Lonchura striata: one gene and its partners. The protein of the gene in region 1 binds, or shares a complex with, the protein of each later gene. Links are inferred from orthologs where the notes say so. Each region holds a gene or a part of one and is shown in the gene's direction. Other genes may lie near its edges. The genes, in order: ACTR2, ARPC2, ARPC5 and ARPC1B.

Evidence for each region.
Region 2: ACTR2 (region 1) and ARPC2 share a complex: the UniProt entries of both Homo sapiens proteins name them as parts of the arp2/3 complex. The link is inferred for Lonchura striata from reciprocal best matches to the Homo sapiens genes ACTR2 and ARPC2.
Region 3: ACTR2 (region 1) and ARPC5 share a complex: the UniProt entries of both Homo sapiens proteins name them as parts of the arp2/3 complex. The link is inferred for Lonchura striata from reciprocal best matches to the Homo sapiens genes ACTR2 and ARPC5.
Region 4: ACTR2 (region 1) and ARPC1B share a complex: the UniProt entries of both Homo sapiens proteins name them as parts of the arp2/3 complex. The link is inferred for Lonchura striata from reciprocal best matches to the Homo sapiens genes ACTR2 and ARPC1B.

What each region holds. Positions count from the first base shown.
Region 1 is NC_134605.1:1,568,895-1,576,494, forward strand, and holds the start of ACTR2 (actin-related protein 2), read left to right. Parts: upstream 1-4,587; 5' UTR 4,588-4,702; coding exon 4,703-4,750; intron 4,751-7,600. UniProt on the Homo sapiens protein: ATP-binding component of the Arp2/3 complex, a multiprotein complex that mediates actin polymerization upon stimulation by nucleation-promoting factor (NPF).
Region 2 is NC_134610.1:15,528,722-15,535,948, forward strand, and holds the start of ARPC2 (actin-related protein 2/3 complex subunit 2), read left to right. Parts: upstream 1-4,215; 5' UTR 4,216-4,335; coding exon 4,336-4,409; intron 4,410-7,227. Other genes in the region: C-X-C chemokine receptor type 2, read right to left, coding at 1-837. UniProt on the Homo sapiens protein: Actin-binding component of the Arp2/3 complex, a multiprotein complex that mediates actin polymerization upon stimulation by nucleation-promoting factor (NPF).
Region 3 is NC_134611.1:27,704,155-27,711,656, reverse strand, and holds the start of ARPC5 (actin-related protein 2/3 complex subunit 5), read left to right. Parts: upstream 1-4,499; 5' UTR 4,500-4,537; coding exon 4,538-4,681; intron 4,682-5,541; coding exon 5,542-5,613; intron 5,614-7,255; coding exon 7,256-7,432; intron 7,433-7,502. UniProt on the Homo sapiens protein: Component of the Arp2/3 complex, a multiprotein complex that mediates actin polymerization upon stimulation by nucleation-promoting factor (NPF).
Region 4 is NC_134618.1:14,900,281-14,907,216, forward strand, and holds the start of ARPC1B (actin-related protein 2/3 complex subunit 1B), read left to right. Parts: upstream 1-3,918; 5' UTR 3,919-4,040; intron 4,041-5,739; exon of another isoform or gene 5,740-5,776; intron 5,777-6,386; 5' UTR 6,387-6,396; coding exon 6,397-6,460; intron 6,461-6,936. Other genes in the region: ARPC1A (actin-related protein 2/3 complex subunit 1A), read left to right, coding at 481-571, 1,658-1,696. UniProt on the Homo sapiens protein: Component of the Arp2/3 complex, a multiprotein complex that mediates actin polymerization upon stimulation by nucleation-promoting factor (NPF).

The sequences.
Region 1 (7,600 bases):
ATTTTTGTTGAATTTAAAACACAAAGTGACCTTTACAATGTGTTCTTATGTTTATCTGGAAATGAGCCAACAAAAATAAAAGTTCATACTCCACACCCTTGTGATGTTAAAAAAAACAGCATTTTCTCTGACCTGTGAAGAAATGTTTGTGAAAAATACCCAACAATAAAAACCTCTCCTCATAGTATTTTAATGACAGCCAAATAGCGCACTCAAGAATCCTCATGTAAGCTACACCGGATCATACCATCTGTGTGAAGATGTTTTGCAATTATGCCAGTACTTCCAGCTCAGATGACTCAGAATGGGTGGTGCTTATAGGGAGGAGAATCCAGACCCTTTTGTCCTTCACAGAAATCCAGGCCTGCTCAGCACTCCTGGGCTGGTGCAGTTTGACAACCAAATTGTCTTTTCTTAGCAGGAAAATGATCCTGCTTTGGCCCCCACGGCCACACTGCCTCTGGCACCTGAGCCTGGTTGGCTTTGGTAAGCAGGAAAGTGAGATATTGAGGATCTGCTGAAGGTCAGAGTCCCTTAATGCTAATGAGGTAGTCACGGTTTTGAAGGTGTGTCTGCTGAGGGCTTTTCTGCCCTTTAAACCATGATCTATTCAGAAGTATCCAGACTGTTTTTAACTTGTTACATCCACAGTTTGATAAATCCAGAAAACGATCAGTGTTTAGTCAGGGGACACTTTCTGTGAATATTTCTAGCCTTCTATTTTGGTAAAGTAATGAAATAAATCCAAGACAAAGGTAAAATGGCTCAATAAGCACCAAACAGATTATTGAAAAGGTTAATGCTGGTTTTCAGGTAGAATGTCTTTCTCCTGCCCTGGCAATACAGCACTGGAACCAGCCTCATCAGCATAGGAATGAACTGGCCTCAGTTTCTCCAGCCAGCCAGAGTTTCCAGGTCCAAATTCCATATACTGGGAGAGCCCTGGCTCTGTGGGGAGTGGAGGTGGGGCTGAGGAACACACTGTTTGCTTTGCTGCAAGCAAGATATCACTATACCCTCCTTTCTCTTCTATACCCAGCAGAGCTATAGGACAGCTGTTGCAATAACTCATTTTCCCTTTTAATTCTGGGTATTTCCTGCCTCTCTTTGTATGCCTGCACTATTAGGTTAAGCACAGAGCACTTAATTGGCAAGTTCATAAAGGTCTATCAAACTCATTATAAGAGAGAGGTAGTACTTTCTCTGATAAGCTTCGGCACTCTGCTTAGTCATCATACTTTTATTATCCTCTATCATGACATCTTGCTCACTCACAGAAGTCACAGCTTAGGGCTCTTAGGAAACTGTGGTTAGTTCTCTCCATGGCTTTTCTTCCTACTGACACTGCTTTAAAAAAAAAAAAAAAATCTTTAAAACAAGAAGTAATATCTCAGTCCAGCTAAATCAGTAAAATAAAGTTTTAAAAGAGATGTCTGTTCAAACCACATTATATTTCCTCTCCTGCATTGTACATGACATTTAAAAAAATGCAAAAATCTTTGACAGCTATCCAGCAGCTAACAGCAACAACAGTTGGTAGTAAGAACAGTGGTGAATTTATTGACTGTATCATGAAGGATATAAGTTCTGGTACTTCTGGTACAGACCTGTATCCCTTTCATATTAAATCTTCATGCTGGGCTATAAACAGCAAATTAACCGTTTCTATTTGCTAGACTTCAATATCACTATTTATTGAGACTTTGATTATACTTTAAATTCTGATGGCAATTATCAAACTAACCCTTTGTCATAGTTTTCTTTAACTGATAGCCTAAATTCCTGGCAGGAAAATGCTCTTCTGATAAAAGCTACAAAACATTATTAAAAAGGGGTTGAATGTTATATTTAAGGATCTACTGAATATCTAATCTCAGGAAAGTTAGGAAGAAAGTTTGCTTCTTTTTTGCTTCATTGCTGCCACATTAAAACATAGCTTGCCTTGGAGCAGAGTAAATGTTGCCACCACTGTGCATGAGAAGGCACAGCTGAAACATTCTGTCTGACAAATAATTTGAACCCAAAATGAAACATTTCTCACTGAGAGATTGCAGATGCTTTATACACGAGCATTAGTATGAGGTGGCATGGTACCAAATCCAGCTTCGTGGGTCTGAGGCACAGGCTGGTCAGAATTACTCAGCAAGTCCATCAGCAGAGTAGGAAACGGTGTAGTTCCCCCAGTGAGCCCTCTATGCTAGGTTCAACAAGCTGAGGGGTTTAAAACATACAGATTAATTCATTTTTCTGGACAAAGAGCAGGCTTTTAAGGCAATTGCTTTACACATCTGGCTTCAAGGAGCAATGTAAATTGTGCCATGCTCTGAAAAGCAGATTAAAATGAGATCATTAATCTTATGTATATTAGAAAGCAATTGTACCCAGGTAAAGCTGTGCAGAGTGACCAGGATGTCCTTCCATCACAGCTGCATGCCACTGGATCAGTCCCTGTTTGTTCCCACAGCCTCTTCGTCCTACAAGGTATTTGTTTCCTCATCCTCAATATCTGGATGTGATTAAAGTTTAAAAAAGTCAAATATTATGGCCTATATTCTGGTATTTATAAAATTTCTCATTGTTCTCACTGTTCTGTAAAATTAAAGGTAGAAAAAAAATGACAACCATAAACATGTGTATCTATTCATATGTGATAGAAGAAATGGGTTTAAAGTCTTTACAAAAGATTTGATCTGAAAGGACCTGCAAGGCTCTGGAAGAATGGGCGTGGGGGTCTTTACCTACATCAAGCCCTGCATTTGTTGCAGAGCAAAGCACAGCCTGAACTTCTGAACTTTGGGGGAAAATGCAGAGAGCTAATAGACTTATGAGTATTAATTTCTCCTCCCGGGGTGGGCTAATGGTTAATTTTAATTTTAATGGTCATGCAGTGCACAATGAGGGAGGGACACACGTTCAGGGGGGAATGTGTAGGGGACAGTTTGGGAAGGCTGTACCCGGGGAAAGTTGAAACTCCACAGGGGCATGGCTCTCTACCTTGATTCGAATAAAGTTGATTTTTGCAGGGCTCCTCTGTCTCCTTTGCAGACACTGGCCTTTCACAGCGTGATTTTCCACACAACATGTAACTCTCTTAACTATACCAGAGGTTATATTGTGTGATACCCAATTGGAACAGGCTGCTGTTCATAGGGGACCGACACAGCTCATGGCATGGATGGAAAAAACTGGAGTTTGCTCCTGACTTCTTGTGGAAGTCAGTGGAATTTGGGGCAACACAATAAACAAATATTGGCATCTAATACCCAATTGGAACAGGCTGCTGTTCATAGGGGACCGACACAGCTCATGGCACAGATGGAAAAACCTGGGGTTTGCTCCTGACTTCTTGTGGAAGTCAGTGGAATTTGGGGCAACACAATAAACAAATATTGGCATCTAATACCCAATTGGAACAGGCTGCTGTTTATAGGGGACCGACACAGTTCGTGGCATGGAGGGAAAAACCTGGAGTTTGCTCCTGACTTCTTGTGGAAGTCAGTGGAATTTGGGGCAACACAATAAACAAATATTGGCATCTAATACCCAATTGGAACAGGCTGCTGTTCATAGGGGACCGACACAGCTCATGGCACAGATGGAAAAACCTGGGGTTTGCTCCTGACTTCTTGTGGAAGTCAGTGGAATTTGGGGCAACACAATAAACAAATATTGGCATCTAATACCCAATTGGAACAGGCTGCTGTTCATAGGGGACCGACACAGCTCATGGCACAGATGGAAAAACCTGGGGTTTGCTCCTGACTTCTTGTGGAAGTCAGTGGAATTTGGGGCAACACAATAAACAAATATTGGCATCTAATACCCAATTGGAACAGGCTGCTGTTCATAGGGGACCGACACAGCTCATGGCATGGAGGGAAAAACCTGGGGTTGCTCCTGACTTCTTGTGGAATTTGGGGCAACAAAATAAACAAATATTGGCATCTAATACCCAATTGGAACAGGCTGCTGTTCATAGGGGACCGACACAGTTCGTGGCATGGAGGGAAAAACCTGGGGTTGCTCCTGACTTCTTGTGGAATTTGGGGCAACACAATAAACAAATATTGAGGCTGCCAGAGACAATGCAGGAGGTCACGCTTATCCTTTACAAATATGGAGCTGCCAGAGAGGAGCCAGATCACACTTTATCTTTTCCTTCACTCAGAACCCATCACACAAATGCAAACTGTTCGCCGGGCGAACCTGGGCAAGGCCTGTGGGAGGAGCAGAAGCTCGGGAGATGCCGAATGGACACAGCATCCCCGGCAAACAGAAGCTTTTCGGGGCTGATTTCGCCCCGCGCGGGCAGGCAGAGCAGGCAGGGCGGCGTGAGGGGGGAAGGCGGGCGGCCCCTCAGGCGACCCCCACCTCCGCACGGGTGGGAGGCGGGCGCAGGGAGGCGAGCCGGCAGGCTGGGGGGGCTCGGGGGGCTCGGGGGGCTCGGGGTGGCTCGGGGGGCTCGGGGTGACTCGGGGGCTCGGTTCCGGGCCGCCGCACCGCCCGTGCCCCGCTGCCGCCGCCGCCGCCCCGGCAACGGGGGCGGAGCGGGCGGCGGGCGGGGCGGGCGGCGCGCGCTGACGGCTTCCGGCGGGCGGGCGGCGCGCGGGGGGCCCGGCGGAGCTCGGGGCGGTGCCGCTGTCGCGCTCGGTGTCGTGTCGGGGCTGCCGGTGCGGAGCCGCGTTCGGCGGTGTGGGCGGCGATGGACACGCTGGGCAGGAAGGTGGTGGTGTGCGACAACGGCACCGGGGTGAGTGCGCGCGGGCGGCGCCGGGAGCCGCCCTGCCGCCGGGGCGGAGGGGAAGGGGAAGGGGAAGGCGGGTGGCGCTCCCCCACCGGAGCCGGCCCGGCTTCCTGCCGGCACCGCCCGCCCGGCCCGGCCGCCGTCCCCGCGGAATGAATGGGCGATGGGCCCTCGGCCCGGTGTGCCCGTGCTCCCCGGGCCCTGCGGTGCCCGGCCCCGGCCCTCGGCGGTCCCGATTCCCCTGCGTGACCTGGGCCGGTCCCCTCAGCAGCGCGCCTTCAGACAAAAACGGCGATTTTTAAAAATTCTGAATCAGCGCATTATGCGTTGGGCAGTCAGGATGCGTCCTGTGTCTGCAGGATTATTACTTGAGGGAAATGTGTTTGGTTATTTTATTTTATTTTATTTATTTTTTTTTTTAAGAGCATCATCCTTTCCTCCGTGCCTCTCCGATCTGCCGCGTACCTCCCATAATCGGCATTTTCTAAATGAAAGGTTTTCTCCCCATCCTTTCCACCTTTCCTGGCCTCCATAAGCGTGCAGGCACCGCTGGAAAATCCATCCTTTTGTCAGGCTGTGAAGCACCTTGGCAGGAAGTGAAAAAGATACCATTTTAAAGCAGGAGGAGATCAGATGCTATCGGTGGTTATTTCCCCTCGGTAATTTCTTTTAGCAGTCTAGGTTTCCCCCAGTAAAGCAATATTATGTGCAGAGTTACCTCGATTGGTGGTGCATTAAGATCTCTTGAATGGCAAAAAAAAACAAGGGTTTTTTTTTTATATGAACACTTGCAAAAAAGACTTTTTTTTCTTTTTTTAATAAGCCTAGTAAAGAATATTTGAGACAAAGGATTATTTTATTACAGATTCAGCATCCTAAATTAGGGGGTTTTTCAGTTAGCATCTGAAATTGTTAGAATGGTTCAGGAAGAAGAACATCATATTTGACAGTTTCGGGGTTTGACAGTGATGATGTCTTCATTAACCCTCATATAGCAAAAGCTATCTTTGATAGGGTTAGAATTCAGAGCCTTTGGGCACTTTTTACACTATAATTTAGAGAAAGGAAAGAAAAGGAGATAGCATTTTCTTGTTACAAAAGGATATGGAAGCTGCTTTACGGTTTGTTTGTTTGTTTGACTTCTTTTATTGTTCTTTTTTCTTTAATCTTCCTATTGCGAGGCCCAGAGTAAAAAAAAAAAAAAAAAAAAACCAAAACAAAAAATTCAGAGCTTCATCCATTGGTGTGGTCCTTTATATGGCAATAATCACTGAGTTGTAAAATGTTGAGTGTATTGCTGGTGACAGCAGTGTTGTGCCTTGGCTGGTCTCAGGTGTGACACAGAGGGTAAAAGCAATTTTTCCAACCAGATTTCCCAAGCTGGGTGTGCCACACACATTTCTTTACAGCCTGGGGTATCTGTGCATGCTGTTAATTCCAGACACATCTTGGATCCATACAGTTTTTCCCTCGATGAGTTGGACCAGCAGGATATAAATAACCACAGGAGTGGAAGGTGTCTTTATGGTGCAAGAGGAGCCTGTGTCATTTCAGCCTGTGTGGTTTTGGGTTGTGCTGGGTTTTTGGGCAGAACAATGTGTGCCTGGAAGCCACAGAACTCCTTGGGTGGGAGAGTAGAGTGAAAGAGTGTTTTAATTGTTAAATGAGTCAACTCAAAATGTTCAGATTGATTTGGGATAATTGGACAAGGATTGGGATAACTAATCTGCACAAAAATTCCATTCAGTAAAATTTTTGAGTCTCAATTGCATGTCGAGGTATCAAGTAGTTCTGTATTGTCAAGCCACTATTTTGATAATAATATTTTGCCTATGTGACAAGAAATGTTTAGCATTATTTCTGATATCTCACACTTAAAAGCATGATTGAAATGAAATCGCTCTCCATGTGTCGGAAAACTTATAGGTAAAAAATGGAGAATATCTTTGGAAAAACGGGTGAATTTTTAACGTTAGGCTCGTCTTTGCAATTTGCTGTTCTTGTTAGGCTGCAGTAGGACTCCTGATGCATCAGGCTGCAGCCAGTCTTTGAGGAAGAGGTGAGTGGCTCGAAGGAAGTTCTTGCAACACATAGTGTGGGAGGCAGGCAATGGCACCTCAAAGGTCTGCAGCGTTAGAGGTGGATGCTCTTATTGTTAGAGGCCAAGCAGAAAGTTACTCACTGGCCTGTACAATTGTTGTAACTGTGTTTAGGGTTTTTGTTTGAGTGTTGCATCAGTGGAAAGGATCAAGCAGGGAGATCTGATAAGAGTATTATTATTCATTTTAAAACCAGTCACGTGACCCGTTTGCAAGCTTCCTCATTCTTTTAGTTTGAAAGAACACTTATACATGCAAGTTCTTGGTGTTTGATGACTCAGTAGGAAGTGAAAGACTCCGTATAAACCACAGTGAAATGGGGAAGAAACTATATATGGTAAAAATTACATACATGGTCTTGCACACAGGCAGGCTAAATAGCTGTTCTTAGAACATTCTGAATGTATAGCAAATGTGTGCAAAAACAAATGATGATGAAGTTCTTGCAGAAATAGGTGAATTCATGGAGTGCTTGTGTTCTTTTTGGAAACATGAGCATTGTAATTCAATAATTGCTGTGAGGGGTGTGCTTGGCAAGAGGTGGAAGAGAAACAAGTGCACTGAACTTGAATTAGAGTGTTTCAAACTGAGAGTGGCAGAGCAGTGAGTGTTTCATGTTGGGCCTTAGAAAAGAGAATCTGTTCCAGATTACTGCTGTTCATTTACTTGAAGATTTTGAAGGATTTCCTGTATCTTATATTTCCTGTACCGCTTCAAAAAATCTAAGAGAGTCCAAAGTCTGTTATTGTATAGATCT
Region 2 (7,227 bases), on another chromosome or scaffold:
CCGCGTCCTCATGAGGGTGTCGCTCACTAGGGTGATGTTGTAGGGCAGCCAGCAGATGAGGAAGACCAGCACCACAGCAAAGATGACCTTCATGGCCCGCTGCTTCTGAGCATTTTTGGTCTGCAGGAGGGTATGGATGGTGACACCATAACAGAAGAGCATCACCAGGAGGGGCAAGGCAAAGCCGAATGTCTGCGGCAGGATCCGCAGCACTACCCGCCACTTGGCCGTGTCCTCGCCACTGATGCGCTCATAGCACACGGTGCCATTGTTGGGAGAGCGGAAAGCCTCACGGAAGAGCAGCACGGGCAGGGAGAGCAGTATGGAGAAGACCCAGATGCCCAAGCAGACAAACTTCACCCAGTGCCTCTTCTCAGTGGCAGCCCGTGTGGCATAGACAATGGCCAGGTAGCGGTCCACACTAATGCAGGCCAGCAGAAGGATGCCGCTGTAGAAGTTGGCTTCCTGCAGCACAGAGATGGCTTTGCACATCACAGTGCCAAAGACCCACTCGTGGGCTCGGTAGGCTGCCCAAAGCGGCAGGGTCAAAGCAAAGAGCAGGTCTGCCACGGCCAGGTTGAGCAGGTAGACGTCGGTGACGGAGCGGCTGGTGTGGGTGGAGGTCACCACCAGCACCACCAGCCCATTCCCCACCACACTGAGGATGAAGACGAGGCAGTAGATCACCACCACCAGGTACTTGTTGAGGGCAGAGTTTTCAGGCCGGCACGGAGAGGATGAGATAGCAGTGTCAGGCATGGCTGTGCTGTAGTCATAGGTGTAGTTGTAAAAGAAGAAGAGGTTGGAGAAATCTCCACTGTAGGACAAGGGCTCCATTTTGCCTGTGGAGCACAAAATGGCATGAGCATGGGGTGGTAGTGCTGTGGACCAGGGGTGACAGTATCTCTGGATCCTCTGGCATTTCTGTTGGCCCCCAGGTACTCTCCCAGCCAGTGGGCAGCTGTCCTTCATCACTGTGATGGAGGACACAGCATTCCACACTGTGCCAGGTAATGGTCAGTATGCAGGTAGACACTGTTCCTCATATACCCCCTTGTAAAACACCCCCTGCATGCCTCATTCTCCTGCATTTCACCCCAGTCCTGTCCATTTCCTGACTCTTGTGGAAGAAAAGGTTCCCCCATAGACTGATCACCTCTTCAGAGTTTGGGGGCTTCTCCATCAATGTAGCATCACATCCCTCCAGGAGACATCTGGCTCCTCCAGAAACCCTGGGCTATCCTGCTTCCTTCAAAAGCCTCTAAGCTCTTTGGGCATGTCAGAGCCCCTCACACACCTCCAAAGTTCTTCAAGTATCCCTGTATCCCTCCAGCCTCTCCACCCCCTCAAGCATTGCTGCTGTGATGCCTGGAACGGAGCTGCCCCTCCTGCCATGTCAGCCAGCAGCAAGGCTGTGGTCATGGTGGCTGGGGCAGGCAGCACTCAAGAAGGTCTGAAGGTGTTTTTGTGTCCTTCTTTCACCTCCTGGTCTTGCTCCTGCGGGAGTGGTTTCACACCCCAGGCGGAAAGACATGTCACACTTTGCAGGCAGCTTTGGAAATGTTACATCTCTGGTTTTCCTGTTGCTCAGCTGGGCACTGCTGTGTACCCCCGTGCTTGGCCAAAATGGGGAAATCACAGGTGGCAGTTGCTTTTCCTGTCTCCTCACACATAGGAGACGGTGAGCTTGCTCTGGTCCTGCCTCCCCAAAGACCACAGGCTTTCAGTCTTCTCCCAGAATGGATCTGGACTCTTGTTCCACTCCAGTTTCACCCCTTGGTCCCATTTCTGAGCCCGCAACCCCTCCAGGGCTTGGAGATGCCAGGACTGCTTGGGGTGCTGCTACCCACCTCCAAACTGGCCCTGTTTGAACACAAACCATTCCTAGAACCAACTTTTCCCTTTGCCTGATTTGAATCCCCTGCCGCAGCTGGGCTGGTGCCACTCTCTCCCTGGCTCTGCTGTATCCTCTCTTGCAGTGATCCAGGGATGGAAATCCTGGGATGGTGACCCCAGGGTGGTGATGCTGGGATATGGAAACATCAGCATCCCGGAGAAATGCAACCAGGCATGCTGCCAGTGCTGATGGGGGAATGTCCTCCCAAGTGGAGCTCCCCAGGCATGGGGCAGAGCCTGATGCAAGTGCTTCCCCTCCATCTATTTCTGGCTGCTGCTTTCTGCTTCCCCACTCCAAAATTCTGGTGGTTCCTCTGGAAATGGGTATTCCCCAGGTATAACACACACAGATAGATCCCCACAGCTGGCCCAGATGAGGGGAACAAGCAGCACTCCATTTCCCCTCCTGACCCTGGCAGGGCTGGGGCACAATGTGGGGGGCCTGGGGCTCCCAGTGGGGACATGCCATGGGGAAGGATCCTCCTAGCTCATCGCTGTGCAAGGAAATGGGAGCAGGTATTTTTCCCAATGGCACCCAAGGCTGATGTCCCTGGGGACTATGGAGGGATTGCACCCCAGATGATCCCACAGCACAGCCTTGGTTGCTCTCACCCACCATCTCCCTCTACCAAGCAGCCTCTTGGGCAGCTGGACCAACCCACCCCAGCTCCCAGGCTGCTCCACATGTGAAGGGGCTCAGATGAGTGATGTGGGGCTGTCAAAGCCCAAGGAAAGCCACAATCTCCAGTGGTGCACCCCATGGACTCACTGCTTGCTGCTGTTGCCGTCCCCTCAAATGTGGAGTCTTCTCTTGATCCCAAGCTGTTTCTCACTGGGAAGCACACAAGTATGAGTTTAAATCCAGATGTCACCCCAAAAGGGCTCAAAGTGTGGTGGGATGCAGGGCAGCACCAGACCCAGGGGTCTCACCAGCCAGAGGATCCTCACCTGTGCCTGCTGCTGTGCCGCCTCCCAGTACCCCTTTCCTCCGCCACCCACTTTATACTGCCCGGGGAGGAAATGTTGCAAAATCTTCTCCCAGAATGAAGAGGAAGTGGCAGCCAAAGGGACCCTTCTGTGGTCCTCACAGATGCCTTTCCCAGTCCAAGGGAAGCCCGCAGACCCCTGTCAGCCTCCTGTCCCAAGATGTCCCAGGCCACGCTGCACTGGGGGTGCACCCAGGGGGTCATTGTCATTCCTGTGATGATGCACCCCGGGGGTCACCAGCTGGGGGTCTCCAATTTGTCCCCAGGTCTCCAGTGGATGAGGGGATCCCCTTCAAGGCACCCCTGTGTGCTGCGGTCCCCCCAGGAGAGCAGAGCTCTCTGAGGCCATGGTCAGTGGGTGATGGCAATGCAGGGCTCTGTGCCTCAGTTTCCCCATTGATAGAGCGGTAGGTGGTGTCAGCATTTAGGGGATGCACACGGGGACTGCAAGACTGGCTTGCCCTCCATTGGGGGTTGCTGTGGGGGACCCCCCCAGAGTAGAGTCCTATGTCCCTCCTGCCCTGGCTGTGCCTTGCCAAGCTAAGCCAAGTCAAGCCATGCCATCAATGCCATCAGACAGAGCCGTGCCGCTGTGCCAGACTGTGCCAGCCCTGCAGACTTAGCGAATGCTGTGGCTCCGAGTATCCCTTCTGCTTTTAGGGGAGAACTACACACAAGAGCATTCCCCATGCACCTCCATTACTCTGGGGCACTCACAAACCCCTTGAGCACCGCCATCCTCACAGCTTTCCATGCTTGTCAGCCATAGGGCTACCTCACGTTTTTGGGGCACCTGGTAAGTGCCATCATCATATCCCTTCATCATATCCCTTGGGCATCACCACAGACTCAAGGACACTCCTATTCTCTGTGGGAACACCTCCTCAGTTTTGGGCAACCCCAAGATCCAGGGCACCATTTACAGCCCCCCTAGGATACTCCCACTCCCTGTGCCACCTCACATTTTTGGGGCCCTGTAGCTCTGAAATTATATATTTTACAAGATACCATTTTCCCCTGTAAGACCCCCATACACTGGGGCACACCTACTACTTCCTCGAGCGTCCCTATGATCCTAAGGGCATTCCACTGTTCCGGGGACCTCCAGCACTGTGAGTATTCAATTAACGGGGTGTGGAGGGGGGGACCCTCACATTGCGGGGGGTTTCCAGAGCGCAGGCTCAGCCCCACGCCCGGCCTCACACGGCTGGCGGCGGTGCCGGTGCCCGTGCCCGAGCAGCCTCCCCATCGCCTCGCCCCGCCCTCAAGGGCCGCCCCCATTGCCCGCCCGCCGCGCGTGACGTCATCGCGGGTGGGCGCGGCGAGGGCGGGGCGGCGGCGCCGGGCCGGAAGTGACGCGCGGGCGCGAGAGCGGAAGCGGCGGCGCAGGCTCGGGCGGGTCCCCGGTGCGCGCAGCGGGCTCGGCTCCCTCAGAGCCGCTCCCGGCACCGACATGATCCTGCTCGAGGTCAACAACCGCATCATCGAGGAGACCCTCACGCTCAAGTTCGAGGGCGCGGCCGCCGGGTAGGAGCAGGGGAGCCGGGGCGGGGCGGGGACGGGTCCGCGGAGAGAGGGAGGGGCGAGGGGGCGGTGGCTGGCGGGGCCCGGGCCGTGCCGGGCACCCGGGCACGGAGCAGAGCCCGGCGGGTGGTGCCGGGACAGGATGGGGCTGAGCGGGGCGGAAGGTGACAAGGCAGGATGCGGGGCTGGGGAGCGGCACTGAGCCCGCGGGCAGTGTGCTACCGGGGGGCGGCCCGGGAACGAGGAGGGCAGAGCGGGCACGGGGTGGGAGCCTGCGGGATGCAGAGGCTGGGAGGGGGGTGGTCAGTGTGCGGGAGCTGAGCTGCGGGACGGATAGAGCTTGGGCAGAGGGAAAGCTGGGGAATGAGGGAGCAGAGTGGGACAGGGCAGTGTCGGAGGGGAGAGTGGAGCTGGATGGGGTCGCTAGTGCCAGAGCAATGGGGAGCCCCGGGGGAGCAGGACGGGTCTGGGAAGGGTGCCGGAGATTGCCGTGCTGAGGTGGACTGGAGGACAGGGGTGGAGAAGGAGGAAGTTGGAAAGGGAGGAAGGTGGATTTGCAGGGTAAAGTGGCCTTCATCAGCGTGCTGCCAGCGCTGGTACAGAATGTGTAGGGGGAGGCGACGAACAGGAAGCCTGTGTATGGAGTCATGGCCTCAGCCTTTTGCTTTGGGGTGAAGAGCAAATTTCAGTTTGCTCCCTCTTAGCTTTTTTGAGCAGAAGGGATAGAGGCGCACAGGTCAGCCATGGCTGCTGGTGCCAGCCTGGTGGGTGTCCTGGCCTTGGGGAGCAGCCTGGGGGTCTTGTTCACACCCACATCTCCAGCTGGAACATCTCAGTCCATGGGGAGCCCGTGTTTTTTTTTACTGTGAGTGTTGCACCAGGGCTGTAAAGATGCTTGTGAGGACACAGCTTAGCTTGGAAGGAAGTCCCTTAAGAATGAATGTCCTTATCTGCAACCGAGTGGCCTGTGGGCTGGATGCACTTGCTGCCTGCTGCCTGAGACACCTTTGTACACAGACAAAACCTTGAGAGGCAGAGCACAGTGGTGTTATCTCTGGGGTGGAGCCTGCCCTGGCACCTCACAAGGCAGGGCTCAGGCTGCTCCAGGAAAGGACCCTCCCGGGCAGGTGCCTTTTTCTGTGTTACTTTTTCTCCAGCAATTTTTGAAGCTCTCATCCTTTTATGTGCAGAACGTTGTCAGAGGCCACTTAGTTTGCTTTCCTTCCACTCTCAGTTGACTTGCTGATCAGATTTGTGTTTTGTTTTGGTGGGGCTTTTTTTTTCCATAAAATAATTATGCAGGCTGCTCTGCCTTGGAGGACTGCTGAGCTTCTCCCAGATTTTGATTTGTCTTGAGCCCTGATCATTTAATGCAACAAGTTTCCCCAGAGTACAGGCACAGCACTGGGCAGAGAGAGCTCCCAGATGACCTCTGTGGTATTGCAGCCACATCCATTAGAAAATATGGCATGCACAGAGGTTCACAGTGAGTGTCAGAACCGCGTGTCAATCACTAGTCTGTGCCAAGCCACTCTTCCTGATGCAGAGAGAAGAACGTGTGTGTGTCCCTGTGTTGATCTGACGTGGAGGGGCAGCTTGCAGGTCTAGATGCACCCCAAAACTCTGACTCTCTGAGCAGAGCTGCACTTGCTTGCCCTGCAGCAGCCTGCAGGCCCCTGACATTTCCATTTTGCTGCATGGCAAAGCCACCTCACTGGTGTGTGGGCACGTGTGCCTGACATACTGACTGTTCCCGAATCAATTAGTAGGGTGGCTGATGGTGTTCTCCTTCTGCCTTTTAGTCATCTATGGCATATTCTGTTCTTTAGATGGCGTTTCTAGATAAGTTTTGTGCCTTAAGTGTGTTGCTGATGGTGAGGAAGACATTTACTTCTGAATTTTCTTCATGCTTGTTCTGGGCTCCCCCATCCAGGCACGTGCAGGAACGTTTCTCCTGCTTTCAGGTCTTCTAAGGAATAGATGTTACAAAACATTTATTCAAGTGATATTTCTTTTTCCTATGGCCACAGCTCTGGGGTTATTCCTGTGGTGCTCAGCCTGGAGGTAGGAAGGGATTGCCTGTATTTTGCTATTTTGATGATGATTTTCCAAGGTGTATCTTGGGGCTGAACACAGGACAGTCAGGGCAAGGTCAAACCTTGAAGAATTTGGTGACTGGGAGGAGTGAATCTGGACACTGGGGCAGAGCTGGGTTTACATTATTTGCTCTAAACCAGAAGTGCAGCAGATGCAATGCAGGATTTGTCAATAGTGGTTGTCTCAGAGCCAGGTGTGCCTTGTAGCTTCAGCACCAGCCTGAAAATGGGGCAGGGCAGGGTTCTTTTCCAGATCCTTTGCCAGATACTTGTCCTGTGACATGGGCTGTGTCGCTCCCTTCTACTGCAGTGCAGCCATAGTTTGACAGGTTCCTGCAGAGCTTTCCTGGGCTATCAGGTGGGAGACACTCCACATTTCACCTTGTCATACAGAACAAGGTCACATTTAGAAGATGGAATTCATTAACTGCTATTATTGTCATATATGTCAAGATCTGTTCTGCATAGAGGTCCATCAACTGTCCCTGGATTTCCCAGTGTGAAAGGTACCTCAGCAGGACTGCAGACAGAGATCAGCACTTGAGACAGGGCCTAACCCACCTCTAAGAGTACTCCCTGAACAAGGTCCTTGGGGCTTGGCAGCATCCACCTGTAAATAGGGTAATTTCAAATTTAATTTGGTTTTGTGGACAGTCCCCATGTGTTGCTATTGGACACGAAATGAGTACACAAAAGTTTGTTAAGTTTAAAAGAGAAAAAGAGTT
Region 3 (7,502 bases), on another chromosome or scaffold:
TGGGATGGATCAGAATTTCTGCATGCTTTTTAGCCTGGAGAGATACCAGAATTTACCTAATATTTGAATAAAGAAAAAGAAAATCCCAGCCCTGATCATTAGGGTGTTTTTCCCTAGGTGCAGAACATATGTCTTGGATCCTGGCTCACTTCCAGACAGAGTCATTAGGGACTCTTCTCCCTGTGGTTTTCACTGGATAAAACATTCCTCTCCAGTTCCTCCTGTGAACATTTGTGCCATGTCATGGGGCACTAATCAGTCATTCCTGCCCTCTGCCCCAGACAGGCATTTTAGCAAAAAGTTAAATAATTTCTAAAAGTTATAATTATATCCCAGTCCCCTCCAAATATAGTTGGGAGGGGCAGAGATAGAACTATAATTTTAAGTATAATTGGATAGATAGAGAGAGATAAATATGGATCTGTTAACACTCATTTTGAGCTCCTAGGGATCCAACAGACACCATCTCCTGTATCAGAATGGTGGCTCATGGAGAGGAACAGCATTGGCAAAGGAGCCAAAGGCTGATGCTAATGCTGCACGTCCAGAAATGCACTTTGGTTGTGGGAACACTCTTCCAATTAACCCATCCAAAGAGGTAGTTTGGGATTTGACTCCCATCCTGTAAGGATGTGATACTGTTGATTGAGGAGATTGAAAATTTGACGGGTTTTGACCAGGACGAAGCACCAACCAAAGATAAAGAGGCAGGTTTCGGGGGGAGATGTAAAATGTCCGGTGCCTCTGGTTGAAAAGCTCTAGAAACACTTAAACAGAGCTGGAGAAGCAAACGGCTCCATCCGAAAAACAACACGCATCCCTGAGGTGCGACATTGCCATCATGCGGCCATCCCAACTCTGCAGGAACACCAGCAGGGACAGCAGGAATGGGAACCTTATCCCACACTCGCAGCTTTCTCAGTTGTCTTTAGCACTGGCAGCCTGCAGGAGAAGTGGCGGGGGTGACACCCTCTCCTGACACCCCTCTGCAAAGGAAAACACTCCTTTCTCCGCACCTGCCCTCCTTTATGCCAGGGAGCAACGGCATTTTCTATTTCCCGGGGCACGGCACTGCCAGGGTGACATTGCACTGCACACAACAGAGCACGGCTGACCATCCAAAATGTGCAGAAACACCAGAAACGACAAATGGACCACTCCTCATGTCAGGAAGCCAATCTTTAGGAGAAATCTGAATGAGAACAGCACAGTGGTCTGGATCAGGAAGGAACTACAGCACATACATACATGAAAATATATGAGGACAATACACAGAAGTTACTATAGAGTCAGAGTGGAAAGCAAAGCAAATTTTAAAAATTATGAATTTAAGGAAAAAGTTAAATACAGAGGGCAAAACGGTGGTATGCAAAAGTGAGCTGTGATAAAATGTGCAGATGGCTATGTTTTACAGTGGAGCAGCAAAAGAATTATGAAGATCCAAGAATGATGAGGGGCAATGAGAGCAGCAGTGAAGACAAATAATTTCCTGCTTGAGCCAATAGCTGTTCACCCACACAAAATTTGTGTTTTCCCTCCTCTGGCACCCTGGTACAAAGCATGACTGAGCTTACTCACAGAATGACCCACTGCTTCCTGGAATTAAAGCCTCAGGGACGGGAACACAAACTTCCGAAGAAAGGGAAAACCTTGGTGCAGAAGTACAACAGGAGTCTTCTGTCCAGCTGGCACACTAGATAAACACACAAATCATTTAGAAAGAATCTCAGTTGGACATTCCTTAGAACACCCAGATTTCAGCTATAACAATATTGTAGCAAAACTTCACTAATAAAAGAGGGCTATAGTATCACTTGAGAAATTAAAAAATAATATTGACAGGCACAGAACAGACATTCAACTCCCACAGATGCCTGGCCCCACAAAGGCAAATTCTGTTTGCCTTCCCATCTCCCAGAAACTGGCACCTGGAAACATCTAAAAGAACCTGCCTGCTGCCACCATCTCAAACAGGGCCAAGCCTTTGCACTGGGAAAGATCCTGCTGCATGGAACTGCCCAGACCAGGGAGGAACCTTCTTCTGCACCACAGAATTTGCAAAGATTGTAACAGCCCTAAAGTGGAAACTTTAAAAGCCACTGAAGGAAATCAGATAAATATTTGCTATTACCCTGAGCTGGACCTGGTAATGACACCTTTTTAAGTTCTTTTTGCATGTTTTTGTTTTTTTTGCCAGATTGAATCATGGAATCACCTGTAACAATTCTAAAAAGTGTGGCTGTTTCTATTGTACAGTTTTTCCTCTATAGGGTATAAGGGAAAATTTTACTCTTTATTTTTAGCAAAAAGTCTGTTTTGTGAATAATGCCTCCAGGCTCCAAGAGTTTTGTTCTCTGTGTCATCAACCAAGTTTCCATATGCTGCTACAAGTTTCAGCAGCTATTTGAAGAGACTGTCCACTATTTCTTATGTATAACACACTTTGTGTGTGCCATCATGGGGGCAGCCCCTCGTCACCCAGCTCTGCCAGCAGGTACACAAAACTGACATCAAATTAACTTAACAGGAATTAAAACATCTTTTAGGACAGCTTTTCCCCAAGGAAAGCAGGGGAACTCAGCTGGACAGCAGAATTTAAAAGCCTTTTCCTCTGTCACCCAGCCTCCCAACAGCCTTTCCCAGCCTTGGAAGACATTCTGCTTCCTCTGATGTCTCCAAGACAAGGAGGGCTTTTCCCAGGTGCATTTCTGCCCTCTCAGAAGGAACAGCTTATAGCCAAGATGCAGAAATATAGTAAGGCATTCAAAAATGCCAAAGGAATAATTCAGTGGAAGTCCTCATTCGGAAGCGTTTCCCTGTGGCACACGCCTGCTCTGAGGATGGCAGAGATCCACCCACTTTTTGGTGTGAAACTGAGATCACAGATGGCAAAAAACACCAATAAAGTCCCCTCCAGCCAAATTTAATCCATGGAATAACTGTGGGTCTTAAATAATGGATTATGAACATACTTTGGTTTTAATCCTCAACCTCTTAAGCCAGGGCAGTAAACCCTGAACCTCAGTACTCCCTGCCCATGGCAGGCAGTTGGAACTACATGACCTTTAAGGTCCCTTCCAACACAAACCATGCTGTGACTCTCTGACAGTCTATTTACCTCCTGCAATTACTTTGCTGCCCTTAAGCCAATTTCCAGCAGAAAAATGCCAGCAGTCCCAAGCTACAGCCACAGTTCCAACTGGACTGCAGCTTCCCAAGCTGAGGCAACTTTGGGGAACATGGGACATATCCTAAATTCCTCCTCTATCAAGGAGGTGGGTGGTCCTGCAGGTAGGGCTGATACAGGAATAAATTACAGGGGTTAGTGGTGGGTGTAATATGTGTATCTATATGTGTGTGTGTGTGTGTGTGTGTGTGTGTATTTTTTCTTCCAGGGCTGTTGTTTTCTCTTAAGAGGAACCTCACAAAGCTGTGTCATTTCCTAATTAATAATAGGGTAATTATTATCTACAGAGGCTAAGTGTAACTTTAAAAAATTACAGGCTGTGGCTATTTTTTAACTCTCAAGGTCACTAGGTGCTGTTGGAGTAGGAGCTCCCTGAGCAATCCAAGCAGGGCAGCTCCCACCTCACTTGAAGCTACACGGGTCCTGCCCAGCCTGGCGCTGTCCTGGGGTGGACAGAGGGACCCAGACAAGCTTGGGAAGAGGCTCGTGGGAATCTCATGGAATTTAACAAGGCCAAGTGCTGCTGCTGCACCTGGGTCGGGGCAACTCCCAGGATCAGTCCGGGGAGGGGGCAAGCAGATGGAGCAGCCCTGGGAGGATTTGGGGGTGCTGAGGGTGAGAGCTGGAGCTGCCCCAGCCCTGAACCCCCTGCCCTGGGCTGAGCCCCAGCGTGGGCAGCAGGGGAGGGGGATTCTGCCCCTGTGCCCCGTGCTCAGCTGAGACCCCACCTGCAGAGCTGCCCCAGCACAGGAGGAGCTGGAGCTGCTGGAAGAGCCCAGGGGAGGCACAGCATGGTCACAGGGAGGGAGGAAAGGATGGGAGAGATGGGATTGTGCAGCCTGGAGCAGCTTTGGGGTGACCTCACTGTGACCTTGCAGTACCTGGAGGAGCTGTTGGGAATCCCGAGGATACACTATTTACAAGGGTCTGGAGTGACAGAACAAGCAGGAATGGCTTCAGAGTCAGTCAGAGCACGGTGACAGTAACATCAAGGTTGTGGCTTCAACTCCGGTATGGGCCATTTACTTAAGAACTGGATTCAGTGATGCTTGGGGGTCTTTTCCAACTCGGAATACTCTGTGAACCTGTGAAACTTCAAACTGAAGGAGAATAAGTTTAGCCTGGCTATTGGGAAGAAGCTGTTCCCCGCGAGTGAGGCCCTGGCACAGAGTGCCAAAGAAGCCGTGGCTGCCTCAAGTATCCAAGGCCAAGGTGGTGGGAGCCGGAGCAGGCTGGGCGGGCCGCGCCCTCGGGTCCCCCCGGCTCCCCGGCCGGGGCCGCGCTCGCTGCGCCGGCGCCGCCGGGCGGGGCGGGCCGGGCCGGCCGCGGCTGCGCGGGGCGGGCGCGGCCATGGCGAAGCACACGGTGTCCTCGGCGCGGTTCCGCCGGGTGGACGTGGACGAGTACGACGAGAACAAGTTCGTGGATGAGGAGGACGGCGGCGACGGGCAAGCGGGGCCTGATGAGGGCGAGGTGGACTCGTGCCTGCGACAATATCCTGAGGGGAGCGGCGGGGGCGGAGCGGGCGCGGCCGCCGCCGGGGCGGCCTTGTAGGGGAACAGCGTGAGCGGCACCGGTGGGCAGGGAGAGATGGGCGGAGAGGGCTGGAGGGGATGGGGATGGAGGGGAGCGGACTGGAGGGGAAGGGACAGGCGGGGAAGGGGATGGAAGGACAAGGGAGGATGCTGAAGGGGGAAGGGGCTGACAGCAGGAAGAGTCTGGCAGCAGGAAGAGGCTGAAGGGGAAGAGGCTGAAGGGGAAGAGGCTGAAGGGGAAGAGGCTGAAGGGGAAGAGGCTGAAGGGGAAGGGGCTGAAGGGGAAGGGGCTGGCAGGGGAAGGGGCTAGCAGCAGGAAGGCGGCCCAGCTTCCTCCCCTGCCCGCAGCAGCCGCAGTGCCCCGGGGCCGCGCTCAGGGCGGTGTCCCGGGGATGCAGACAGGGCGTTCCTGTGCCCAAAGAGTTCCCGTGCCCGCTGCCAGGGCTGCCTCGCCCAGCTGGCCCTTGGTCACTTTTCCCTGGGCTGCTGTCCCAGTGGCTGCTGGGGCTGGATGTGACAAGCTGAGATCTGTTCTCGGGGGCTACAGATTGCAGAAGTGATGGAGAATGGTTTCTATTACTCATTCAGGGAATGGCCTAGGAAGTATTCAGCAGTCCCGGAACTATACAGCTGCTTGTTGATGCTGCTCCTGCCTCAAATGGCCTGAAAATTGCTGTCTTAGGCTGTAATGTCTTCTTAGCTGGTGAGGGAATCCCTGCATCAGAGTGTTTTCAGTCATGCACAAGCCAGCTACAAATATAGCTGTCCTGGTACTTGATGTCCGTGTATTTGGTGTCTGGTCCTTAACCATCTGGCACAGGGAACATGATGGCTGCACTGCAGGCAGCTCTGAAGAACCCTCCCATCAACACAAAGAACCAGGCAGTGAAGGTAAAATAGCAACTGCTCGCTCATGGGTTACTCCCTAAAAATCCTTTCCTGTCTCTGTTACTTCTGTGCCACTAGTTGTACCTTGAGGAGGCAAGAGGAGCAGAATTTAGGGTGAAACATCCATGACCACAAGTGTTTTAATCTTGTTCAAAATACTGTAGCTCAGGTACAGTACTGTCCACGTACCTTTACCTTGGTGCTGGATCAGGTGTGGTTCTCCTGCCAGTGCTGTTTGTGTTTTGTGTGCCCAGGTGTCATCATGTGCCTGTGTCTGCCTCAGACCACACATGGCAGCTCACAGATGTAATCCTTGTGTGCTCAGGGAGCCAGGGTTGCAGTTGTCACCTCTGACTAATGAAACCACCAGCAGTGAGCCTACAAAAAAGGAAGAATTGTTTTTTGTCACATCCAATCAAAATGAAGCTGTTAAACCTCAGGAAAAGCAAGTCCTCCCCCTGTGATAGTGTGGGAGTCTGCTGGGTATGTGCATTTCTGAACATCCCCAGGATGGATCCTGAATAGCTCATGATTGCAGTGGTAGGAGGAACAGGCTGATAAGATATGGCAGTGCCCAGCTGGTGAGTGCCTGCAGTTACTTCTCCGTGCCCAAGGAGAGGCCCAGGGGCATGGCTCCCTGCTCCATGGTTCCTGGCAGAGCTGTTCCTGCAGCCCCAGCCCTTTCCTGAAGGGTTTTACAGAGCTCTGAGAACCAGCTGTTACAAATAGAGCTGTATAGCTTTGTCCTCACATTAATGACTTGTTTCCATTAGCCCTCTATTGAAGGATTTAAGAATACATTTGGTGGTGGAATTGAAGAGGGTAGAATGACTGAACATTAATACCTGTATTAATTTTTGGTTATCTTTGGAACTTAAATAATTTTACTTACAGTCATGTGAGAAGTCTTGCTAAAGCAAGTGATTATGGAGTATTATTAAATTGGGCAGGAAAAGTGACATCCACAGTTTCTGTAGGGGGAAGGTGCCTGACATGTTTGTACGATGGAATTATTCAAACGTCCAGCAACCCCGAGACATTTTTCTCTCATCCTGCCTCAGTTAGTGATGGATGAACAGGAGGAGCTGCTCCTTGCTGATTGCATGGCTAATTGCTGCTGTAAGCTCACCTCACACATTCCCAGGCCTGAAATGACATCCAGATCAAACGTTATTAATTCTTAATATTAATGGCCAGTCTGCATCCAGTGTGCCTGGGACTGCTTGGAAAGCACGTGGCTTCCAGCAGTCACCTCTTCCAATGGCATTTCCCTGGATCATAATGGTTGTGTCACGTTAAACAGTACAGAGGTATGGAAAAGGCTCTAGTGGGAAGAGGGGCCAGATAAGCACTTGATTGTTATAATTATTTTGGAACTTGATACATCTTGAGCTTCCAAATGAACATTTACTATTTAGCTATAATTAAGGGGCGGAGAATTGCAAACACTCACAGAGGCATAAAAACTAAAGGAGGGCGAATGTGTTAAACTCTTTTACCTTGTTTATCCTTGAGAGGATGTGTCTATTAATCTTTCTATGACAAGCTCTTCACACACTGTCCTCTTCAGAGGTGTTAAAGAAAAAAATGCAGTTTGGCTGTGCCTCTCACCAGGATGGTTGTGTCTGTGCCTGCCTGTTGACAGGATCGTGCTGAGAGCATCGTGCTGAAGGTGCTCATCTCCTTCAAAGCCAACGACATTGAGAAGGCGGTGCAGTCTCTGGACAAGAACGGGGTGGACCTGCTCATGAAATACATCTACAAGGGCTTTGAGAGCCCCTCTGACAACAGCAGTGCTGTGCTGCTGCAGTGGCACGAGAAGGTGCGTGCATGGGGACAGCTCCTGCCACAGTGCCCAGGCCCTGAGCCTGGCCAAAACTCCCTTCCTGGCT
Region 4 (6,936 bases), on another chromosome or scaffold:
GTGGGGAGGCCCTTGGCACAGGCTGCCCAGAGAAGCTGTGGCTGTCCCATCCATGGAAGCTTTTGAGGCCAGGTTGGAGAAACCTGGGACAGTGGAAAGTGTCCCTGCCCACAGTAGGGAGTGGGACTGGATGAGTTTTAAGGTCCCTTCCACCCCAGACCATTCAACAATTCTGTTAATCAAAAAGATTCATTCAGGTTAATTGGGTAAAATATCTTTGCATTAAAAAAATTATGTGATCTGCAGGGATGTGGAGCAATTTCTCTTTATTCAAGGAAAACGTTTTGTCTCACCAAGCCATTAAAGAGCTTTCAGCATCTTTTTCTTGGCTTATTTTTCTGAGGCATTCTACCAAGAATCTGGTATAGGCTCTGGTATAGTCATGTCTCCAGCCAAAGAGTAGGAGTGGAATTCAACCCAAATTTCCCAGATTTCTGGCTCTCTGGAATGGGTGTTGGAGCTCTCACTCTGTGTTTGCAGCCAAGTGTCTATTTATGAGATTGACAAACGGGATTGTCGGAAATTCTGCACCACCGGCATCGATGGAGCAATGACCATCTGGGATTTTAAGGTAAAAATGTGCTTTTACTACCATGTTTATGTGAACTAGCTGGGGTGGTGGATTTTTTTTTTTTAATCTCTAGTATCAACTCCTGGGGCTCAGCCTCAAGCCAGGTTTTAGTAGCAGCAGGAAATCCAGACTGGAATATTCAAAACCATTAGTGAAATCCATAAGAAAAACTGATCCAAGAATCTGCAGAAATGCAGATGCAGTTTGTTAAGCAGATGGTGCTAATACAGACTTATTTTTTTAATAGAATTACTTAATGTCCCTGTAGGAATCCCCTTAATTCTTTCATTTTCCAGCCTCAGCCACAACTGAGCTGGAGCAATTTGTACAACACAGCCCCCTGCCTCTCCCTTCTCCCATCCCATGGGACTCTGCTCATTGTCCTGCTGCAGAACATGGTCCTGTCCTCTCAGAACTGACTTACCCAAGGAGTAAGAAGTTGTCTCTAACAGCTGGAAAATGCAATATTGAAAATCCTTAAAGGATGTATTAATGCCCATGCTTGCTTTACTCAGGCCTGGCCAACAGAGGTCCCTGTTGGCCTTCCCAGATCTGGGATGTGGGATGTGATTTAGGGAAAGAACAGATTGTGTTCTATGGTGCCAGGATGCTCTGGTGGGGACAGGAGTCATACAAGAAGTTGAAGTGATCTCTAGGCTGCTTTAGTGCAGTTTTGGGTCTGTGTCGCTGGTACCTGCCTGAGTTTGAAAGGAACAACTGTTGTGGTCTCTGGCCTCTTGCATTAGGAAGAAATCCTTTACTTAAAGGAGAAATTCTTCCCTGTGAGAGTGGTGAGGCCCTGGCACAGGTTACCCAGAGAAACTGTGGCTGCCCCTGGATCCCTGGAAGTATCCAAGACAAGGCTGGACAGGGCTTGGAGCAACCTGGGAATGTGGAAGGCGTCCCTGCCATGGCAGGGGCTTGAATGAGATGAGCTTTGATCCCAAACCATTCTCGGATTCTATGACTGAATCTAATTTCAAATATTCATGTTTTTTGCTTGTTTTTTTTAGCATTTACACTGAATTAATTTAGCCCAAGCTACAACAGCAGATTGTAATTAAGATTTTTTTTCTCTCCTTCAAGACTTTAGAGTCCTCCATCCAAGGGCTACGAATCATGTAAAGATGGATTTCCATGATCTAGCAGGACAAACTGCTTGACAGAATGCAGCTCCCACATCTGCACAAACCTGAAAAGGGAGGAGGAAGGTGAAATATTTGGAAACACTGAGAAAATACAGCTTGGCAGTTTTTCTTTTGAATCTAAATTTGGTGAATTGTGTTGGTTTCAAAATCAGCTGTGATTGTTCTTTTTTTTTTTTTTTTTTTTTGGTTGGTTGTTTCATTCCATTCTTTACCAAAGCTGCTCCTTAAGTAGTTTATTGCAGGAAGTTATGAATCACTAACTTAAAAGGGGAATTTTATGTAAATTGTCTGCTAGAAATAATAATAATAAAAAAGAGAAAAACTGATTCTTTGTTTTGAAGTTTGTTGATTAAAAAAGGGATGTTAAGGGAATTGGGAGAGAGACAGAGTGGGGAAAACCCTGCACTGATATTTTATGGCCTTAAAGCAGAAGTTCATCTGAACTGAAAGGTTCTAAAGTTGACAGACCTGGAGTTCTGGTGATCTGGATGTGAAGATTCAGATGAGCTTCTTCCAGGAGAATTCTTCCCTTGAGGTGACAATTTTGGAGAATGAATGATTTTATCCTACTTCTCTTCATTCTCTCTGCCTTGCATTTAATCCATAGCAACAGCAAATTAATCTGAATGTCTTTTTTGTTGTCTGCTTAGCGAGTGACATTTTTCCAAAGGTGAGTGACCAGAATTATCTGTGGTTGCCTTTGGGATTGGTCTCCAGCCTGCTCCCAGGGCAGTGCCTGTGGGACAATATGGAAAGCTCTGTGTGGAAAGTGAGACAAATATCTGCTGAGCCTCGTCTGGGGAAGACAAATTAAAAGCAAATCTCTTGGTAAGTCTGTGAAACTTCAAGGCTGGGGAATCACCATCCCTGGAGGTGTTCAAGGAATGACTGGATGTAGCACTCGATGCTCTGAGCTGGTTGGCAAGGTGGAGATTGGTCACAGGTTGGACTTACTGAACTTGGAAGTTTTTCCTACCCTCAGTGGTTCTGGGATTCTGTGACCTGTTAGAGCTGAGCTCTCAACCCATAAAATCCTGTATTTATGACAACTAGTGGGCAAATGAAGCTGCAACCAGAGGTGTTGGTGTGGTCTGGCTTCTGTGCTGATCCTTTGTCCCCAGGTACCTTTTGCAGTTCAGCTTGGAGCCTCAGGAGCTCACGGAGGCATTTGGACACAGCTTTATTCACAGGGTGTATTCCTCCCGGTGCTGCTGCCTTGCTGTGCTCTGAGGGGATTAGCTGGCTCATGGCATTGCTTTACAAAGCTTAAAACTGTCAATTCTGCCGAAAATGCAGAAGTGTCTTTAAAAAACCCCAATGACTAAATTTACCACTTCCTCTGGAACCAAAGTTGCTTCATACCCTGCTCGTTTCTCAGCTCTGTTGCTGTGCAAGGTCAGCTCTGAGTGGCAGCCACTGTTCTCCATCACAGAACTGGATCCTTCTCTGGTTTCCTTATGTCTCCCACCTTCTCCCCTGGCAGTCGGGCTTGGCTTTACAATTTCCTCTCCCTTCTAAACATAAAATAGCAAGTGTTTCATTTCTTGCAGTCAGAGAACCTGGGGCGTAGCAGAGGGAAAGGGGATGAGTGAGTGCATCCCTATGCCCAGGAGGGAAGGCCTGAGTGCATCCAGGCGGGAATGGGATAAAAACTAGCTGCTCTGAAGCAGGAGGTGATAAAACCAGAGGGCTGGATGTCTGCTGCGTGGGGACACAGGCATGGTGACCGCGGCCAGCCTGGCACTGGGTCCCACTGGGCTCTGTGAGATGCAGGAACCAGCAGCAGCTGCTGCCGAGGGCGGCCAGATCGGGCTCCGCGGGCTCCTGCGGATCTCCCCGGCCGTGGGAGGCGATGCCGACCAGCGTCTCTCCCCGGGTGGGCTCCAAGCTCGGCTGCTCCCCGGTGGGGGCCAGCGCAAGCATCGGGGAGTCCCCATCCCTCGGGGGTGAACAACACCCGCTGGCACAGGGAGACGGCGGGGACCCTTCCCTTCTGTTCTCCTGGCTGTGTCCTTCCCTGGAGCACCCGGGCGAGCTGCCCACGTCGCACCGGGAGCATCGCGGGGCCGGGGCGCGTCCCGGTGCGGCGGTGCCGAGCGGCCCGGCCCGCAGGCACAGGGGCTGGGCGGCTCGGCGCTCCCCCAACGCCCACGTAAGGAAGTGGTTGCATTTCTCGGAGAGGAAAAGGGAAGTCGGGCTGCCTCGGCGGGGCAGGCACAGCTCCCGCCGCTCGCTCCGGGCTCCGTTCGTGTCGACTGCCCAGAGTCCATGAACGAGCCCCGCCGGCCAGGAACGGAGCCCAGCCCGCCCTGCCCGGCAAGGTAAGGACGGGCTCTGCCGCCGCTGTCCCGTGGGGCTGTGGCTGTCACCGCTCCTGGCGCTCACAGCCCGCCCGAGGGTTCGGGGGGTCCCCCCGGGCTGGGGTCAGGGGGTGCAGGCAGCCCCTTGCCCCCTGCGAGTTTCGCTGTCGCCGCGTTTTGGGTGTTTTGGGCTTTTCTCCCAGCTTTGTCAGCAAGTTTCAGGGTTGTTTTTTTTGGGTTGGGTTTTTTTTTTTTTTTTTTTTTTTTTTTTTTTTTTTTTTTTTTTTTTTTTTTCTCTTGCCGGAGGTCTGACAGCTCTGAGGGGGTGGAAAGAGTCGTCCTGTGGGGGTCCCCTCGGGGTTGGTGCCGGCAGAGACTGAGCTGCCGCAATCTGTCCTCCCCTCCTCGGCATCAGCTGCTTCCCGCTTTGCCCGTGCGAGGAAGAGGAGGGTCAGAGCCGCCCTCCGCCTGCCCTGGCTCGGGGTGTCCCCTCAGGCCAGGCTGGCTCCCGGGGCACCAGCACGGGGCTCTGGGGATGGGAGTCCCCAGCCTGGCTGGCAGGAGCCGGGCGGTGACACCTTCGGCTGCCGCAGGGAGCAGAGCGGCTCCCGGGGGTCGGTGTTGGGGTCTTGGTGGTGCAGGGCTCCACCACAGCGTCCGGGGAGAGTTTCAGGGGGTCCCAGCTCCCAGCGGGATCCTCACTGGGTGCGAACCCTCCTCCCACCACCCCGCCAGGCTCGTAAAAACCCAAACCCCAGCTCCTCCGGTGTGCGGCTTCCTCCCGGGACTGGGAGGAGCCCCCGGCAGTCTCTCGGCTCTGCCAAGGTTTGGTTATCTCCTCCCAGGATGTTTCCGAGCTGCTTGGACTGGCCGGGGAGATAACGGAGCTGTTCCAGCTCCCAGTCCCGCCCTGTCTGGCCTTCGGAAAATTCCCATTTTCCTCCCTCAAGAGCCCCTGGGTTGGGGAGGGGGGTGGGAGAGGGATGTAACCACAGCTCCTGGATGCTCTTCCCGGCTGGGGAAGAGGCTGCCGAGCCCCCGAGGGTCACTGCAGGGCGGGGGCAGGACTCAGCCATGGGGAACCCATGGGGAACTGGCTCTAAGGGGCCGTGGGGGAAACAAAACACCACCCACTGCTCCTTTTGTGTCTGGCAAAAACTTCCGTCCTGGCACGGCGGCTGAGCTCGTCCCTTCGGGGTGGCACTCAGAAGGGAGCAGCAGGGACCCCAGGGAGGAGAGTTTATGCCTCTGAGCTCCCAAACCACCTGGAAAAAGAAAAAGCATTGCTGTTTTCTTCGTGTCGAAGCCAGAACGCACCTCGGTCCTGCCTCCCATCCCTCCTGTAGGGAGCCCTTTGAGCCATTTCGGCCAAATCCCTTTTTCCTCTCCTGATCTCCTGCAATGTCGCTGATGGTTTTGTCCGTCCCTCGTGGTGCTGCTCCATCCGCAGGGCTCGGGGGCGAGGCCCGTGGTGGCAGCAGCTTTGTGCCCTCCTTGGGACACCCCGGGCTGCATCCCAGGGGGATCGGCAGCTGCCTCCTCATCCCTGCCCACGTCCTTGGCCAGGGGCTGTGTGACAGCACTGGAATTTCTCCACATGCAGAAGGCAGCTGATGGAGCTCTGCAGATTTTCGTTTCCCCAGCCCAGGGATGGAGCTTTGCTAAGAGGGACTTTTTTCCTTTCCCCTGTAACGTTTTTAGTTGCCAAAGAAAACGGGACGTGTTCAAGGAGTTCCCAAAATAGCCGAGAGCAGGCTGTGAGTAATTCCCGTCATCAGCCGCGCCCTGGCGAGGTGTTTCCCTACATCCCTGCGCTCCCCGGGCCGGATGGCCGAGGGGCTGTGACGCTGCTCCCAGCCCTTCCCGCTGCCGTGGCACTTGGAGGGGTTTTTTTGGCAAACTGCTCCATCCCATGGCAGCTGGGGACCGGCAGGAATGGTGGGAGCTCAGCCAGGAGAAGGGATCGGTCCTGAGGGCTGAGCACTGATGGGATGGAAGGGCCTCCATGGGGCTTTGGCTCTTCCTAAATGAGAGGTGTGGAAGGAGGGGGTGGATCTGGCCCTGTTGGGGTGGGGAGAGGAGGTGCTGCCCCTGGTGAGACCCCAGGGGTGCACAGGGGGCTGCTGGCACCAGGGTCCCTGTGTGCCCAGCCAGCTCCTGCCCAGCAAGTTCCAGCCAGTTTGGTTTAGAAAATCCTGGAAATGGACAGTTTCTGAGCTTGGAAATCCTCAGGAGAACCCTCTCCCCGGCGGAGGAGAGACATGGTGGGCTGCAGCACAGGACTGATGCCAGTGGGAAGGATCATTCTGTGGGGCTGGGGTCTTGTCCCTGTGTCCTGACATTCTGGGGGTCTCTCCCTGTCCCCAGCCCGTGAGCCATGGCCTACCACAGCTTCCTGCTGGAGCCCATCAGCTGCCATGCCTGGAACAAGGACCGCACCCGTGAGTACGCCCGGGGCACCCCGCAATTCCCGAGGACATCCCCGGGCACTGTCCTGGCTCAACACCCCCGAGGCGGGCGATGCTCCGGGGCGGGGCAGAGCTGGCTTGGGGCTGGATTTGGGAAGCAAATCTGGCAGATTTGGGGGCTGGGACAGCACATCCCCCTGTGTCCCCCCGGTGCCGGGACAGAGCCTGGCACAGCGTCCAGCCCCGAGGCACCGGCAGGGGAGGGAGGGAGGGAGCGGGGCCGGGTGATTCAGGGGCGATGGCATTTCCCGAGCGCGGCCCGGGGGATGCGGAGAACAAAAAGGGCTTTCTCTGCTGCGGCCCGAGCGCCGGGCAGGCAGGATGGGGCTGGGTTTGGGAGCTGTGCACCCCCAGCCGTCCTGTTCCATCCCATCCTAGCCCATCCTGTCCTGTCTCATCCCACCAGCCCCATGGGACCACACCCTAGGGAAGGGATGGCTCTGGGCTGT